2 linked regions of the Tamandua tetradactyla genome follow. The protein of the gene in region 1 purifies or fractionates together with the protein of each later gene. This does not show direct contact. Links are inferred from orthologs where the notes say so. Each region holds a gene or a part of one and is shown in the gene's direction. Other genes may lie near its edges. The genes, in order: DCAF4 and COPS5.

Region 1 (8,647 bases):
ACTCAGAACTTCCTAGTGCCTAGAATATTCTTGCTCATTACCCCAGAGCTCTCTCCTTTCCAGAATTGCCATCCTTGGGTGGTGGAATCAGCACTTGGGTGAATATGTAATCATACAAAGGAACTTGGAAAGTTTTGTGGGACATTTCATTCAGCTTAGTGAAGGGACAGGAGAATTATTTTGAATCCAGTTTTTCAGGGACCAAGATACATCCCTCAGATATTACAACTCCTTCCCTTTGATACTGCTAAATAGAAGCTGACAAATTCTGATTAAACAGCTCTTTTTTCCAGGCTCTGGGTGATTGTTACCACATGATGGACATGTTCTTGGATTATGTTTCTCTTATATTGATTACATTTCGGATTAGTGTCTCCAAGATGGGGTTTGACAAGGCAACCTAGCCCCTTTGACAAATTCTGCAGGTGGCAGCTGTTCATAATATGTTGACTTGTTTTAACTAATATTTAAATGTGATATTTTAGAAGAATCAGACTTAAATTTTATATTTTAATTTCACATAGTCAAAAGTAAAAAAGTACAACAAAGCATATAGTGAAAAACCTTCCTCCCATCCCTGCCTCCTAACTACTTACGTTCCCTCCCTAAAGTTAATGGATATGATCAAGTTTAGTATCATTCCAGGGACATACACATATATATACACACACAAATACATTTTTCATTCTATATGCTACTAAAAATCTATCTTGGAGGTAATTTCATATCAGTATATAAAGAACCTCCTCATTCTTTTTACTTTTTTTTTTTTTAACTTTCTTTGTTGTGAAATATAACATATATACAAATAAGCAATAAATTTCCAAGTACATTTAACAAGTAATTATAGAACAGATTTTAAAGTTTGGTATGGGTTACAGTTTCACAATTTTTCATGTTTTCTTCTTGTTCCTGCAAGACACTAGAGACCAAAAGAAATATCAATATAATGATTCATCAGTCATACTCATTTGTTAAATTCTATCTTTTCTGTTATACGCCTCTTTTTTGTGTGTGAAAAATAACACATATACAGAAAAGCAATAAATTTCAAAGCACATCGCAACAATTAGTTGTACAACAGATTTCAGAGTTTGGTATGGGTTATGATTCCACAATTTTGTTTTTACTCCTAGCTGCTCTAAGGTACTGGAAACTAAAAGAAATATCAATATAATGATTCAGCAATCATACTCATTTGTTAAACCCTACCTTCTCTGTATAACTCCACCTTTGAGCTATGCCCATTCTAACATTTTCATGTTGGAAAGGGTTGTTAATAATATGGTATAGGCGGATGGAGCTAGTTGATGTTCTGGAGAGGCTGGCCCCTCTGCATTTCAGGACTTATCTGGTGCAAGGACCCACCTGGAGTTTGTAGGTTCCTAAAGAGTTACCCTAGTAGAGAGAACCTTTGTAGAATCTTATATAATGCCCTAGGTATTCTTTAGGATTGGCAGGAATGGTTTTGTTTGGGGTTTGGCAAGTTACAATAGGTAGTAAGGTCTAATTGACGCTTGTGTAAGAGTGACCTCCAGAGTATCCTCTTGACTCTATGTGAACTCTCTCAGCCACTGATACCTTATTTCTTATACTTCTTTTGTCCCCTTTGGTCAAGATGGCATTGTTGATCCCACTGTGCCAGGGCCAGGCTCATCCCTGGGAGTCATTCTTTTACTTTGTAACAGTTGCAGAGTATTCCACTGAATTAATGTAACATAAGTTTTCCTCTTATTAATGGATATTAAGGTTGTATCCAACTTTTCACTATTATAAACAAAACTCCATAGACTTAATCAATTTTGTACATAACAAAATAAAAATTTTAGGGTGAATTAGCAATATAATTGCTCAAAGGTCTGTGTGTTTTAATTTTGATAAATATCGATATATTGCTAAACTCTCTCCCTTAGAGATTGTACGGGAGCCCCCTCATTGAATCTTTTTTTTTACATGGGCAGGCACTGGGAATTGAACCTGGGTCCTTGGGCATGGCAGGCAAGCACTCCTACCTGCTGAGTCACCATGGCCCACCCTCCTCATTGAATTTTAACAACCTTCTGTACTTTGCTGATTATGAAAAAGGGGTATGTCGGTATAGTTTTAAACTACATTTCCCTTATATGGAGTGAGACTAAGCATCATTTTATATTTATTTCCTTTTTTGTAGATGGACTGCTCATTTTTCTATTGGGTTTATTTTTGGGAGCTCTTTATATATTACGAAAATTAGCTTTTCTAAGAGTTGCAAATATTTTATATCAAATATCAGTGCATATCTTTTGATTTTCATTATAATACTTTTTGCCTCAAGAACGCAGATTCTGGAAACAGACTGCCTGAATTCAAATCTTGATTCTGATATTCACCTGCTGTGTGACCTTGACCAAGTCACTTAGTCAAATTCACACAAAGTGGTGATATTAATAGTACCTACCTTGTAAGATTGTTCTAATGATTAAAAGAATGAATATATGTAAAGTGATCAGAAAATATCTGACTTATGGTAAGGACTATAAGTGATTATTTATCATTTTTATGTAGTCGAATTTAATCTTGATTCAATTTAGACACCATTTCAAAGAACAACTTTCATTTATCTTGGTTTTAGATTCTGGAGAGGAAATTTTTTAAAAGTAATTATTGTTACTTTTGATAATAACACATGCCATCTAGATCTTGAGCTATACTCCTAATAGAGGATGTCCAGTCAATGGGAGCTATAGATCAAGCACCGTGCAAGGTGATTTATCCTCGCATTTACTATGCAAAACCCTCTTTAGTAGATGTTAATATCCCCATTTACCAACAGAGATTCAGAGAGGTCGTATAACTTGTTAAAGGCCAAGCTTCCTTTGTGCACTAATTAATGCTGTTTAATCTTTCTCACCGTGTGTACACTGCAGGTCCCCAAGGCATATCCCGTGCCTATCACACCACTCCCTCTGTGGATATTCAATTGCCCTCTCTGCCATTCAGCAGTTCAGAAGTCCAAACAAACTCTTCCTCCTTACTTCCTCCAGTCACCCAGCTCTTCGGTTTAAAACCCTATCTGTCTCCTCCCACAGAGTCTATCAAGTCATGCAGGTTCTCCCGAAATGTGTCACTCATTCACCACCCCAACCCTGCTTTTATCCCTGGCTGGGCCCTCACTACCTCTCACAGGCACTGCTGCTGCACTAACCTCCTAACAAGTTTCTCATCTGACTTCCAGTCTTTCCTCTCCAGTCTCCTACACAGCGCTACCCAGGTAATTTCCCCAAAGCAAAGCTCTAGTCGTATCACTCCAAGCCTTCAGAGGTTCATGCTACTTACTCACTGTCTACACTTTTTACAGCATCTGAAGCCCCTTGTAAGTTTTACCTCCAGGACTCCCCTCTCATTCAGCCAAAAGAAATGTCTCACTATTTCTTGAACAAGCTGTCAGTCATGTTTTTTTCTTCCAATTTCCCTCTGCCTCCTCTTCAAGGCAATACAAGCTTCATAAAACTGTCCTTTATTCTGATTATACTCACATCTCTCATCCCCCTCTCCAGCCCTTCACACCTGCCCACCTCCACTCCACCATGCCCAGCACTTCTTTGTAAACTTCAGAGTCGAAATTCTACTTTCATGGTATTGCTTGAAACGCCTTCTGGATGTACTGGAAGGACGGATAAACGCCACAACCTAGTTTCTGAAGAGTAAAGCCACAGGGGTCTTTGTTAACAGACAGCTGGGGCACCAGGTCTGCAAGTGGCCCCAAAGCCCGGCCTATTTGAACTCAGCTCTCCTCACAAAACTGGTATTCAGTAGAAAATACTTTCTGGGTAAACAGGAATGGGCTTATTTTCCTATTGTATCACGAGCTCTATCACAGGCTGCTGTTTTCCTTTTAGAAGACCTGATGGCTGTCAGCTAAGGCACAACACACAGAAAACTTTCTGGAACTATTTATTGCTCGTATGGACAAATCGTTCTGAACGTTATTGCTGGAGAAAAGGACAGACATAAGAAACGGAAGCCCAGAGAAGGGAAGAGCCTGCCCCAGGTCCACATTAAGAAGGGAACAGAATTAAGCCTGGAACCCAGGCCTCCTGACTCCCCGCTCCGGGCACCCTCCTCTGCACCGCGGGGCCAAGCAGAACTCGGGTCATCCGCCTCAAACACCTGAAGTCACCGCCGAAGACGTCAGCACCTGTTCCTCTTCTCTCTCTCACCTCAGAGACTCCTTCGCCCTTCACCCAACACAATCCTCCTCCTCAAGTGTTAGTTTTAAAGACAGTGGCCCCCGAGTGACAAAAGAACTTCTCCCGGGTTGGGTCAGTGAGCTGCGGGCAGAGAAGGAATCCGGACCCGGGCGAGAGACGCACACCTTCTCGGGTGGTCTGCGAGCCCTGAGGCTCCTGGACGGACACGCCCCGGACACGCCCGGACACGCCAGTCGACCCGGACCGCCCCACCAGGCTGGGCGGAGCCGAACACCCATGTCCCGCCCTCCCGGTGAGATCGACCCTATAGATGTCGACAGACAGAAGCTGTGTCCAATGAGAAGGAAGAGGCGGCCGTCATGGCCCTATCGGCTGCTACAACACAACAACGGACGCGCCTAACTGGCTGACCCTACAACTCGGTCCTTCCGGGTTCCTCCGCAACTCGTTCCTAACCTTGCAGAGCTGGGGTCGCGGGCTAGCCAGAACGGACCCTCACAATCAGGTAGGTCTATGTTGGCTGAGGTGCCAGGTGGTGTCGGACGGAGGGCTGCTGTTGCTTCTCCCCTCTTACAGAGCTCAGGTGGGTGGGAGCGTGTGGGGAAGGCCAGAGAAAGGGGCGGGGAGGAACCGAGCAGCACGTGGAACGCCGGTAGGACTGTGGCTGGGGTGGAGGCTGGGCAGGTGGGTTCCGGTTTTGCCGGAGGGAATCCGTGGGCGTGTGGGGTGGGGGTGGGGGTGGGGGTGGGGCCTGTCCTGAAGGTCGGAGCTGCAGTCGTAGACACGGGGGCGGGGAGTGAAAAGAGGGACCCGAGTGTCGCCGCTCAGTCTCTTGCCCCGAAGGAACGTTTTTAAAAACCCTGATGCTGGTGGCACCATCAAGCACCTAGCCTTGGCTGGGCTACCGATTCATGGGGGCTGTTTCCCCTTAATGTTCATATTGGGTTGACTTTTTCGGTCAGGTCAGCATAACAGCCAACGCATATTGAGTGCTTACTAAGTGCTAGGCGCTGTACTAACTGCTTTGGAGGCACTAAATTTCGTTTTCCACACGACAGCCCTATAGATAGGCTGCAGAAAGGGCGTAGTGAGGTTGAAACTTACCCCGTCTAATTAAGTGACGAATCCCTAATTTGATCTGAGACTTTCTGAGTCCAGAGCCCGGCCCTTAACGGCCACACCGAGTTGTGTAGTAGCAAGAGAGCCAGTATTTGCACATACGTGCTTGCAGAGTCCAGCAAGTCTTGTCCTTCTAGTTGACTGCAGGAACCGTGATAAACCCTTCTCCTTGATGGGGCAGGATAGTCGACGGACATCGTCTTGTGAATTGATCAGTACAGCAGAGGGGGAAAAAGGAGGAAAGAAAACTAATAGGACAGCTCCAGGAGGAAACAAACAAAATCCCAGAGTCCCAAACTCTGTTTTTAAATAACAATGGAATTTATAGTTGAGGTGGTGTCTTGTTAAAACGCTGGTGACCAGGCTCAGGGGTCAGACCAGCAGGGCTGGAATCCCTATTTCACCACTAATTAGTTTTGTCATTCTGTGCATATTACTCAGTCCTCTAGGCCTCCAGGCCTCCGTTTCCTTATTTATAAAACAGAGGTAAAATAACAGCTCAGGGTGGATATTAGTACAAAGGCTTACACCTGTAGTATTTCTTGAATAACAGAAAACTTTTTTTTTTACACTAAGCAAAAGTAGTATTTCACTCCTCAGTGCTTCCAAACTGAACTATTTGCATTTTTCCGTTTCCTTGCAGCCTCTGTCCTTGTGTCCACATACTTTTAACAAGGTGGAAGTCTCCATGTAGAGGTCGTTTTGTATTCGCCTGTACAAATCAGTGGCATTAGCATCCTTCCACATTATGGTTCAGTAGTTTCCGTAATTTTATGTTGAGTAGCTGTACCACAGTCATAATTCATTTAATTCCTTTTTGTTGAATATTTTGGATATGTCTTGTTTTAGATATTACAGTAATGCTGAGTAAATATCTTTTTTTTTTTGAGACATAATTCAGATACTATAAAATCTACCACTTAAAAGTTAACAATTCCATGGATTTTAGTATATTTGCAAGGTTCCATGGTCATCCCCACTATCTAATTCCGGAATAGTTTCATCACACCAAAGAGAAACCCTGTGGTCCTGGGTCAACCTTGGAGGCCTGGTGGATGGGCCCCATTCTAGGTTTCCCAACGCCTTAGGCTAGCAAGATGTTGAGGCTCCTCCTGGAAAACTGGTAACAAGCAGGGGGACCCAACTGCCCAGAGACCCTAGATTCAAGAACTTGCATGGGAGAATTGGAGCCTCTCTCCAGGGAGTCTCTATAGCTAAGTCCTGGACCTGAGCCACTATATTCTGGGGCCTCCTTCCCTAAACTAGAGGAGGCTGGTGAGGGAAGTCCATGTACCAGTGAGAGTACTGCTACCCACCCACTTTCTCCAGGCTGGAGTCCCAGCACTGCCTCGGGCCATACAAAACCCTGGGAATAGCCCAAGCTTCCAGGTCACAGCTTGAGGCCTACATGCCTGTGCCTTTTCGTGTGTCTCTACCTTCCGGATATTGAGGCCAGGCCAGGAATGTGATCTTAAAGGCAGGGAGGGACAGGTTATCAGCAAAACCTGCAAGATGATATCACAAATGGGAAAAAGCATTTTGGAGAGCTGCACCAAATCTTTTGCTGCTTATGTGCAGAAAATCACCATGCTGTCAGACAAAGCCAACCTCCTGGTGAAATCAGCATGTGTGCCTCTACAGAGACCCAGAGGCCTGAACAACTTTTCCTGATGAGTTTGCCAAACATCAGGCTTGTCAATAACCAGAGGTTGAAAGACTTGAAGCCAAAGTAGTTAAACCTTTGAAAACTTAAGTTGCATTGAAAAATGGAATGGGATGACCTCAGGCCACATTAACCGCAAAGAATTAAGCTAAACGGTTAACTCGGAAAAGGACAAATCAGCGAGACCCATGTGATCAGCATGTTATTTCACAGGCAGAAACTGAGTCTCAGGGAGCTACAGACAAGTCATCATCTGAAGGAAGCTATTCCAGTTTTGGAAAGCAGAAAATAGATGATATGAAGACTATAGTTTCAGAATTTATCACTATTGAAATACTTCTTTGCAGAGCAGAGGTATTCACGTGTTGCCTACCAAAATAAAGAAAAGGTTGAGAAGAAAAATTTAGATGTTGGGCATATTTTCGTGTGCTTCTTGGCCATTTGTATGTCTTCTTTGGGGAAGTGCCACCCCAGTCTTTTGTCCATTTTTTAATCAGTTTGTCTTTTCATTGTTCAATTGTGGAAGTTCCTTATATATTCTAGATACTGGACCCTTATAGATGATTTACACATGTCTTTTCCCATTCTGTACATTGTCTTTTCACTTTCTTGTTAAGATCCATCGATGCACCAAAGTTTTAAATTTTCTTCTAAGAGTTCATAGTTTCAGCTCTTAAATTTAGGTCTTGGATCCATTTGAGTTAATTTTTGTATATGATATGATGTAGGGTCCAACTTCATTGTTTTCCATGTGACGACTATCCAGTTGTCCAGCACCATTTGTTGAAAAGACTGCTTTTACCCCCATTGTATGGTCTTGGCACCGTTGTTGAAAAATCAGCTGACCCTACATATATGGGTTTATTTCTGGACTCTGTTCTAGTCTGTGGCTCCTTCTGTCCTTATGCCAGTAACCACACTGTCTTGATTATTGTAACTTTCAAGTAAGTTTTTTTTTTTTATTTAATTTTTTTATTAATCAAAAAAAAGAAAAGAAATTAACACAACATTTAGAAATCATTCCATTCTACAAATGCACTCAGTAATTCTTAGTATCATCACATAGATGTATGATCATCATTTCTTAGTACATTTGCATCGATTTAGGAAAAGAACTAGCAAAACAGCAGAAAAAAATATAGAATGTTAATATAGAGAAGAGAATTAAAATAATAATACTAATAATATATATATATATATATATATAAAGGAAAAAGAAAAAAAACAAAAACAAAAGATACAAACACACAAACAAACAAAAAACCATATTTTAGGTGCAGCTTCATTCAGTGTTCCAACATAGTTACATTACACTTAGGTATTATTGTGCTGTCCATTTTTGAGTTTTTGTATCTAGTCCTGTTGCACAGTCTGTATCCCTTCAGCTCCAATTACCCATTATCTTACCCTGTTTCTAACTCCTGCTGGTCTCTGTTACCAATGATATATTCCAAGCTGATTTTCAAATGTCGGTTCACATCAGTGGGACCTTACAGTATTTGTCCTTTAGTTTTGGGCTAGACTCACTCAGCATAATGTTCTCTAGGTCCATCCATGTTATTACATGCTTCATAAGTTTAGTCTGTCTTAAAGCTGCATAATATTCCATCGTAGGTATATGCCACAGTTTGTTTAGCCACTCGTCTGTTGATGGACATTTTGGCTGTTTCCATCT
Region 2 (9,255 bases), on another chromosome or scaffold:
TAACCTCAGAAAAGTTCCTTAACCTCTCTATGTCTCATTTATAAAATGGAGATACCACTTACTTCAGAGATGTTTTAAAGATAAATATGAAATAATGCATATAAAATATGTGGCACTTGGAAATCAATAAATCATAGCTATTTCATAGATTCTTATAGTATTTTTATAGTCTTTAATTATATAGGTATTACCTTTAAAAAAAAGCCTCAAAACTTAAAGTACACTGGGATTTAAATCACCAATAATTGATACTTTGTTATAATCCAATTCAATATTTCTACACCTTAACTTAGGTCCTTTACGCTTGTCATATAGATAGAAATATGGGCAGACCAGAACATACCCATTCTAAGTCCTGAGCAAGTTGAAAAAGCAGAGATCCAAAAGCAGTTAAGTATGCCTGGTTCCTTTTCCAGTTTCATCAAACACAAAGAGAGGGGAAATGTCGCTCCCATACTTCTCACTTCAAGGAGCAGAAATTATTTAACTTCCCACTATGGAACATGACAAACAGAAAGTAGCTCCCCTCCTAAAGCAAACATTGTGCTAGATGCTGGGGTGATAAAATTTTTTTAAAAAAAGAATAAGACATGAACTTCACCTTTGAATTCACACACGATAATGGCCCATGCCACAATGGTTTACAGTTTAGCCAGTCTGGGCTTCAGGGATTAAATGTGAGGAACCTCATAAAGGATCCAATGGAGATATCAAGAAAATAATGTATGTCTGGAACTCAGGAAAGAACCCAGACTGGAACTAAAGATCCAGCAATGTTTACAGTAATCATTAAAGTCGGCTGGGAAAAGAGACCCTAGAGTAGAAGGAGAATAGCACTGCAGATAGAATCCCATGGAGTGCAAACATATTGAGGTTGGGGCCAGGATATGGGAACCTGTGAAAGAAACTCAGAAGAAAGAAAGGAAGTGTGCTGGTTTAAAAGGATGTATGTACCCTAGAAAAGCCATGTTTTAATCAAAATTCCATTTTGTAGAGGCAGAATAATCCCTACTCAATACTGTATGTAATTAGATCATCTCCCTGGAGATGTAACCTAATCAAGATTAGGTTAACAACTAATCAAGATTGGTTGTTAAACTGGATTAGGGGAGATGTGTCTCCACCCATTTGGGTGGGTCTTGATTAGTTTCAGAAGTCCTATAAAAGAGGAAACATTTTGAAGAATGAGAGATTCGGGGAGAGCTGAGAATGCTGCAGCACCACGAAGCAGAGAGTCCACAAACCAGTGACCTTTGGAGATGAAGAAGGAAAATGCCTCCCGGGGAGCTTCATGAAACCGGAAGCCAGGAGAGAAGCTAGCACATGATGCCCTGTTTGCCATGTGCCCTTCCAGCTGAGAGAGAAGCCCGAAGCCTTGGGCCTTCACAATTGAGAGAGAAATCCTGAAGTTCATCGGCCTTCCTGAACCAAGGTATCTTTCCCTGGATGCCTTTGATTGGACATTTCTATAGACTTGTTTCAATTGGGACATTTTCTCGGCCTTAGAGCTGTAAACTAGCAACTTATTAAATTCCCGTTTTAAAAGCCATTCTGTTTCTGGTATACTGCATTCTGGCAGCCAGCAAACTAGAGCAGGGAGGAAAGAGGTAAACCAGGACAGCGTTTCTCACTTCCCATCCATCCACAGATCTCTCCATCTAATGAAAGTTTCTCAATCTTTTTCTCCTATTAGATGAAATCCACATGAGCAACTTATCATAGGGACACAAATCCCCCTAAACATGTCTAAGAAGTAAATACTGTGTCGCTGCAGGGAGACCAAAAGGGTGGGGGTCAGAGAGGAAGTAAGTTTATAAAAGCTTTTCGAAGTCTATTAAGCAACTATTAATGGCAAGTACAGATGACAGTCGCAAAAATTACATAGACTATGGGTTTTGTAAAATTGCCGAAACACTTGCTCAAATATCTTTCTCTTTCACTCCAGAAAGCATATCAGAATGTAAGTCAGAGTGATGTTAAAATATCTGAAATCTGTCAAATTCGTAATCAACTGCATTTGTCTAAAGGTTGATTTGATAAAAATTGTACTGAAAGCACACCTGTTCCTTCCCAGAGATTACTAGTGCTGCAAGAGACCCAAATTTCATCCTCGGGAGCATTTCAGCATATATTTACCACCAGAAAGACAGCATCCTCCTAGCCAGGAGAATGATATACAGTTAAGAAAGCAACATCTTACTGGTTTCCCCCAGGATTCCTTTTTTTTTTTTCTTTTTTGGTAACGTATACAAAACATAAGTTCCACTTTAATAACTTTCAATATACAATCAGTAGTATTAATTATATTAATGTGGATCCCATCACACCACCCATTACCTAAAACTTTCCAGGATTCCTTTTTGCTTGTAGACAGGACATGCCAGTACGTTTATAAATAAAACCTCCTCAGAATAACTGGCTTTTGCAAACTCTTCTTGATCGTTATTAGGTGTATGGAAACTATGAGGTTTTCTTTAAAATTTAGTCTCTCTAGACATTCAAGCTACCTTCTCAATCCTATAATCTTTGGAGCAAGACTCTCAAAAGATGCACTATTGCTAACATTGCTAACGTTTACTGAAAACTGGATTGAAATCTCAGAAAGTACCCTAAATTGAAGCAATTAGAAATAAAAGGTTCTAGTTCAAGAAGCCAGGCAATTACAGGAACAGAACAGAATAACAAAAGCACCTTCTTCATTCATCTGTGGTGAAGATTAAATAAATTATAACTTGCGAAGCAAAGCTCCGGGAAGAGCGCGGGGCGCACAAGCCCTCAACAAACGTTAACCATTAACCAGCACTACGGGAAAGGAAAGGCGCCGCCAAAGGCTAGGTAGAGCTGTGGAGGCCGGGTCCCCCAAGAAGGAAGGAGTGCAGGAAGGAGGACCCCGTGCGTCTAGGACACCGGGCTGGCTTCCTCCCTACGAAGCTTCGATGCGTTGTCAGGCAACAGAGTCACCATAACACCCGTGGCGGCCGCCGGGAAACCGAGACCGCCGCATGCGTGCACCGCCCCAGCCCGGCAACCGCCACAAACCCGCCCGCAGGGTTGACCCCCCAGCCCGGCAGCCATGAGACCCCTGCCCGCAGGGAACCTCCGGTCACCTAACTCCTCCAGCCCTGCAGCCGAGGGACCCAGTCCGCAGGGAACCCCATACATCGACACTTGCACTGCCCGCATCCGGTTACCCCTGTCGGCAGACAGCTTCCACCCACAGGACCCGTGTACCGCCCCCAACCCCAGCCGTCAGACCCCAGTCCGCAAAGAACCCCACCCGCGTAACCCTTGCACTGACCCAGGCTCGGCTGCCACAGGGACTCTCCCTTACCCCCTCCCCGGGTCCATGAAACCCAATCCCCGCCCCGGGGCCGCGAATCCAGCCCTGATCCCCTTACTCCCGGGCCACACCCTGTCGGGCCCTATCCCCACCCCGTGCTGGCGGACTCTCACCCAAGAGGATAAACTCCGTTTGGGGTCCTCACAATGTTCCAACTAGGAGCTTTCGTGTCCAGGAACGGAGGCGGCAGTCGCTCGGCGCCGGAGAACAGTGACAGGCCGCTGGCCCGGCTCCGCCTCTCTGGCGGAGATCTCCGCCCGCCTTCACCAACGGCCGGGTGCGGCCCCGCCCCACTGCCGTCGCGGCCGATAGATCACGCGGCCGGGAGCGCCCTCTGCAGCCGGGAGGCCGCACAGCTGCACAGCTGCACAAGGGCACCCCCGCCCCGGGGCCCGCAGGCGGCGCCTGCAGCCCAGCCGGAGACAGTCCGCCCCGGGGCTGTTAAACCGTGGGATCCACTTCCCAGGTTAGATTCCAGCCCCTCCAGCCTCTCAGGCACCGGCTAGCTCAAGAACTGGGTCAAAGCTAGGAGAAAAAAAAAAAGGTAAGGGGAAGCCGTGAAAGGAAAACTGTGTACATACTTCTGGGCATTGCTCTTAGCCCAGCAATCTAGTCTAATTATGTCCTGGGTTTTTAATACCATTTCAACAGGTTATTCATTTCACCCCAATACTGAATAGCCATAGCTATCTTTGGGGGGAGGGGAGGAGGCAGAGGATTTCTAGCTTCCTAAGAATGTGGAACTAAGGGTCCTTTCCTAAATTACTTTGTGTCTTTAAATGCAGATTTTCTTCGGTTGGAAGTCAATGTCAAAACAGCAGGTGACTGAGTGTGAATTTGATCCTTCCAGTGTTTTTTAAGTATATGCCAGGCACCATACTAGGAGTGGAGGCTACAATACAGTGTTTTGCACTCAAGCTTACGGTGGAAATAAAATCTTCAAGTAAACAAATATGTTATTACAATGCAATGTAATACAGTCATAGAAGCACGTACAGAGACTGAGACAACATGGAAGAAATGATTACTAGAGAGAGGAGGGAGTCAAGAAAGGTTTCACAGTGGAGATCTCCGAGCTGTATTTTAAAAATTAATAAGAACTCTCTGGCAGAAAAGTTGAGGAAGAGAATTTCAGGAATTGCTAATCGCATATGCAGTCAAAATAAATATACTGCAGGAAGAGCAAATATTCAGGAGCGACTAAAGAGAGAAATGAAGCTGGGGAGACGCGAAGGGACCAGATTATGATGAGCTTTGACACTACTCAATTTTGTTCAGCAAAAAATTTATTAAACATCTACTCTGCTAGGTGTTAGGGACAAAACAAGACAGATCTGGTCCCTGCGTCTTAGAATTTTGAATCCAGCGGGAGTGTTGGCGGAGGCTGACCCAAACAAGTAAACTAACAAATGAAATAAACATTTTATTGTTAGAAACCTAAAGGTTGCTGAGATGTAATCCCTCGGGGTCAGGGGTAGTTTCACAGAATGATGTTGAAGATTTTATAGTAACTTATTATAAAAACTGAATACCAAGAAAATAAAATTAAATTTAAAAAGCAAAAACTGGGTATAGACACTTCAGGACAGTAACTAGCTCAAAACATATAAATACAGCTGTTAGATTTTACAAATATGCAAGAGGTATTTCGCAGTCCGCGTATCTCCAAAGCCGCCCCGAACGCAGAAAACGCCGATCTGAAGGCGCTGAGCCAAACTGCCGCCAACTCCCTTACATTTACGCACGCGCAGTGAGTTGTCTAGCAGGAAAATGGGATGCCATTTGTATCTTCCTTCTCACTGCCATCCCGAACTACTTATATCTCAATTTCTCCACAGGCACCCTGATTTTAAGCTTTCAACGAACCTATCTTATTTGAGGTCCCTTACACCCAGACAAAAACTACTACTTTCCCCATCATAGCCTGAGACTCTATCCATTTTAAATATGGCGGAGGCCGAGCCTGCGCAGTACAAACAAAGAAGGCTAATTCCAGATTCTGACAAACCGTTAACGTGCCCTTCTTCCGGTGCAGAAGGTCGTACCATTCTCATACCCAATTACCTTGTTTGGCCTAATTCACATGTATAATTCTCAGGACAGGATGTTTTCATTTCAGCCGCAAGAAGATTCCTCTTTCCCTAGGTCTTCCTGTTACTTCTGTTTATATCGTCACTCCTCAGAAGTACCCCTGTCATCTCCGAATGGTCTGTACCACCTTCACCTCCGGTTCTAGGTGTCATGGCTGCTTTAAGAGTCCTGTAAGAGTTTGCACCGGTGGTGGGGAGGGTCCGAAGCCCACACCCGGAGGCCTAACGGGTAAAGTTGCGTTAGGTTGTGGCGGGGACAGCTTCAACTCATCGGCTATGGCAGCGTCCGGGAGCGGCATGGCCCAGAAAACCTGGGAATTGGCCAACAACATGCAGGAAGCCCAGAGTATCGATGAAATCTACAAATACGATAAGAAACAGCAACAGGAAATCCTGGCGGCGAAGCCCTGGACTAAGGAGTGAGGAGGTCCCTGGCGAGACGCAGGGGAGGGAAGGGGTGGCGGGAGTTTAAGAGGCTTGGGGGAGTGGGAGTTGAAGAATGTGGAGAGCTTGGCACTGTCTTTTCCTGGGCTAGGAAGGAGAGGAGTATGAGAGATTTTGTCTGCCTTTACCTCCGCAACTAGAACCCAAATCCCTCTCTGAGGGTCTGCGGCGACTCCTAAATTCTGTCTCCTTAATCCATTTGCCTACAGGAGATGAAAGGGAGTAAAGAAGTGGCGGTGATAGGGGTTATCATCTCTCAACATCCGTATTGTCATTAATGCCGCACACTCTGCCTTGAAGCACGAGGGGATCTACACTATGGCTGGTCCTTCAGCTAATCCTGGACTGGGGACTGCAGTCGTCTTCAGGACTCTCAGATAGCAATAAGCCATCTTTTAGAGATGTATAAAAAAAAGATGTAAAAAAAAGACTACCAGTCTTTTAACTGCTGGTAGTTATGTCATGGACATACAGAGGCTTTATCCAGTCTCCCAAAATAATGGTACACCACTTCAGATAAGCCAAAAATTATATTAATAGAGCTTAAGGCTCTTTGCCCCTTAGCAAAATATTTCTTTCCCTGGAAACGATGACAAGTCTAGAGTTCTTTTCATCATAACATTTATTCTTTACTGAGAACAGACTTTGTTAGAGAAAGTAAAAAGAGCACGGGAAGGCACTGTCTGATGGAGAGGAAGAAAGACAGGAACACCAACAGAAACCATATTTTATCTGCTCAGAGTTTTAGACAAGCTGACTTTAACTGCCAGAATTCAGATTCAGCAATGTTTATTGAGAACTTAATACTGGAATACCATATAATCTTTTCCTGACAGTCTTGTACTGTATTTTCATTCCTTTTTTGCAATTATAAAACAGGCAAATACATGAAAGGCACACCTCATGATTGCACTGAGGCAGTGAACTTTTAAATAAGCAATAGACCTAAGATCAATTCTCCCAGCTGTCACTAACTGTGTGATTGACCTTGCGTCCCCATTTTTTTGTCTCTGAAATGGAGATAAGACTTACCTCTTGTGGATGTCAGACAGATTAGATGAGATTTTGGTATTAAAAGGGTTTAGAATGCATGTAATAGGATCACAATAGTTGTATCTTCTTTTCTTTTCCCCAGTAAATAGAGGAGCCAAAATTTTAATTCATGTGCCTGAATCCTAAGACCAAATCTTCATATTTTTCAGCTTGTAACTGAAATCTGTCAAAACTTGATAATTAAGCCTGGATGCTTTTAGATGACCTGTGAGATGTCATCTAAAAATGACTTTTCATAGAATTTGGCCATTCTATACAGACTGTTTAGGTTGCCTTGTTATTTGCTTACTACTTATAGTAGACTATGCATTTAATGTTGATGTAGTCTACTGATTATTTACTTTATTTAGTCCTGACAACAACCTTATGAAATATTCCTATTTACAGAAAAGCAAGCTAAAGAACAGACATTAAGTGGTTGTCCTGAGGCCATAGTTAGTAAGTGGCAGTGCCAGGATTCAAACATAGTCGGATATCAGAGCCCATGTTCTCAACCATTAGGACAGAAGGCTGATCCTGAGAATAGTTGGTTAGACACAACCATTCTGCCAGAGTCAAAATCAGAGACTCAGTAATGCTGAAATTAATAGAGAAAAAGTCTATTAAGCTGATCTCTTTTTCACTTGAATAACATAGTTAAAAATTCTTTCAGACTTTGCCTCCCCTAAGTGGAAATAACTGTTCAGAACTATGACATGTTTATTATTTTTGGCACCCTGCAGGAACTCTGTCCTATCCTATTTTTTCTTTCCCCAAATTTACACTCTGTCTCCCCTTCCATCACTGTAAATTCCTTCAATATATAGTCCTTCACTTCACCAAAAAAAATACCTTTTGAAATTGTTCTTTATATAAATTTAATTACACCATGTTTTTGTCTTGTAGTCACCATTACTTTAAGTACTGCAAAATCTCAGCATTGGCTCTACTGAAAATGGTGATGCATGCCAGATCAGGAGGAAACCTGGAAGTAATGGGTTTAATGCTAGGAAAGGTGGATGGTGAGACCATGATCATTATGGACAGTTTTGCTTTGCCTGTGGAGGGCACTGAAACTCGAGTTAATGCTCAGGCTGCTGCATATGAATACATGGCTGCGTATATAGAGAATGCCAAACAGGTAAAACCATTGTTTCTTAAAGTTCATAACCAGAAGTTTCAAGGTGACTTTTGACTTTCCAAACCTAAAACTGTTCTCTTTACGCTGAAGTTCATAATTAAGTTTTTTGCAACAATTTCTTAATGTATAGGAGATTAAAAATTTGGAATTTTTTCATTCAGATTCTCTCACTACCAGATGTGTGTTTAAAATGAAAAGTTTGGATGGAAACAACTTAAATGTTCCTGACTATAAAACTGGTTAAATAAATTATGATACATCTATACAATGGTTTTTCTAGCCTGCCTTTAAAAAAATGAAGTAGCTATCTTTATTTTTACTTATGTGGAACTAACTCCAGAATGTTATGTTAAATGAAAAAGCAAAGTGTTGACCATTATGTGGTTTGCTATTGTATGTATGTGTCTTTAATCTACGTATGTGCAAAGAATATTTATTTTATATGCAAAGACTGTCTCTGGAAGGGTATGTAAAACTGGCTATGGTGGTAGCATCTGGGCTGGGAAACTAGATAGTGGAGATGAAAGAGGTGGGAAGGAAACTAAATACCTTTATTTTACTTGTGCCTTGTTAATTTGGTACCTTATACATGTATTACCTATTCAAAAAATCCTCTTTTTTAAAACTTGAAAGTAGAATATGCTATGAATTATTCTGCATTCCATTTTTACCTAAAGCTATATAAACAGACGAATGACAAGTTTCTCTAATATCAAACAGTAACGTCAAGTTCCTTTGCCCTCTTCACTTGTTAGGTTGGTCGCCTTGAAAATGCAATTGGTTGGTATCATAGCCACCCTGGCTATGGCTGCTGGCTATCTGGGATTGATGTTAGCACTCAGATGCTCAATCAACAGTTCCAGGAACCATTCGTAGCAGTGGTAGTAAGTATTTTTGCAACCAGTTTTAATTAAGTTCTTCATGAAGATTTACTAAAATAAGTATTTTGAGAAATAAAAACAGTGTGGTAAAGAGCAAGGCGTTGGTGTCAGTCTGCTTGCATTTGAATCTGAAGTCTGCCTCTTTGAAGCTGGGCCTTTGAGCAAGTTACTTAATCTCTCTGTGTTTCATTTGCATTCCTCTGCAAAATGAGGCAATAACAGCAGCTGCTTTTCAATGCCCAGCACCTGGTAGGCATTCCATCCGCATTACCTGAATTAAGTCAGGAACTGCCATAGCAGCTCTTATGCTCCAACTGCTGCAGATGC

Evidence for each region.
Region 2: the proteins of DCAF4 (region 1) and COPS5 purify together in Homo sapiens (affinity purification with mass spectrometry; 4 studies listed by BioGRID and IntAct, counting the BioPlex papers as one, with this or other methods). This does not show direct contact. The link is inferred for Tamandua tetradactyla from reciprocal best matches to the Homo sapiens genes DCAF4 and COPS5.

What each region holds. Positions count from the first base shown.
Region 1 is NC_135338.1:31,552,115-31,560,761, forward strand, and holds the start of DCAF4 (DDB1- and CUL4-associated factor 4), read left to right. Parts: upstream 1-4,519; 5' UTR 4,520-4,695; intron 4,696-8,647. UniProt on the Homo sapiens protein: May function as a substrate receptor for CUL4-DDB1 E3 ubiquitin-protein ligase complex.
Region 2 is NC_135332.1:110,681,631-110,690,885, reverse strand, and holds the start of COPS5 (COP9 signalosome complex subunit 5), read left to right. Parts: upstream 1-5,335; 5' UTR 5,336-5,544; coding exon 5,545-5,849; intron 5,850-7,812; coding exon 7,813-8,047; intron 8,048-8,802; coding exon 8,803-8,931; intron 8,932-9,255. UniProt on the Homo sapiens protein: Probable protease subunit of the COP9 signalosome complex (CSN), a complex involved in various cellular and developmental processes.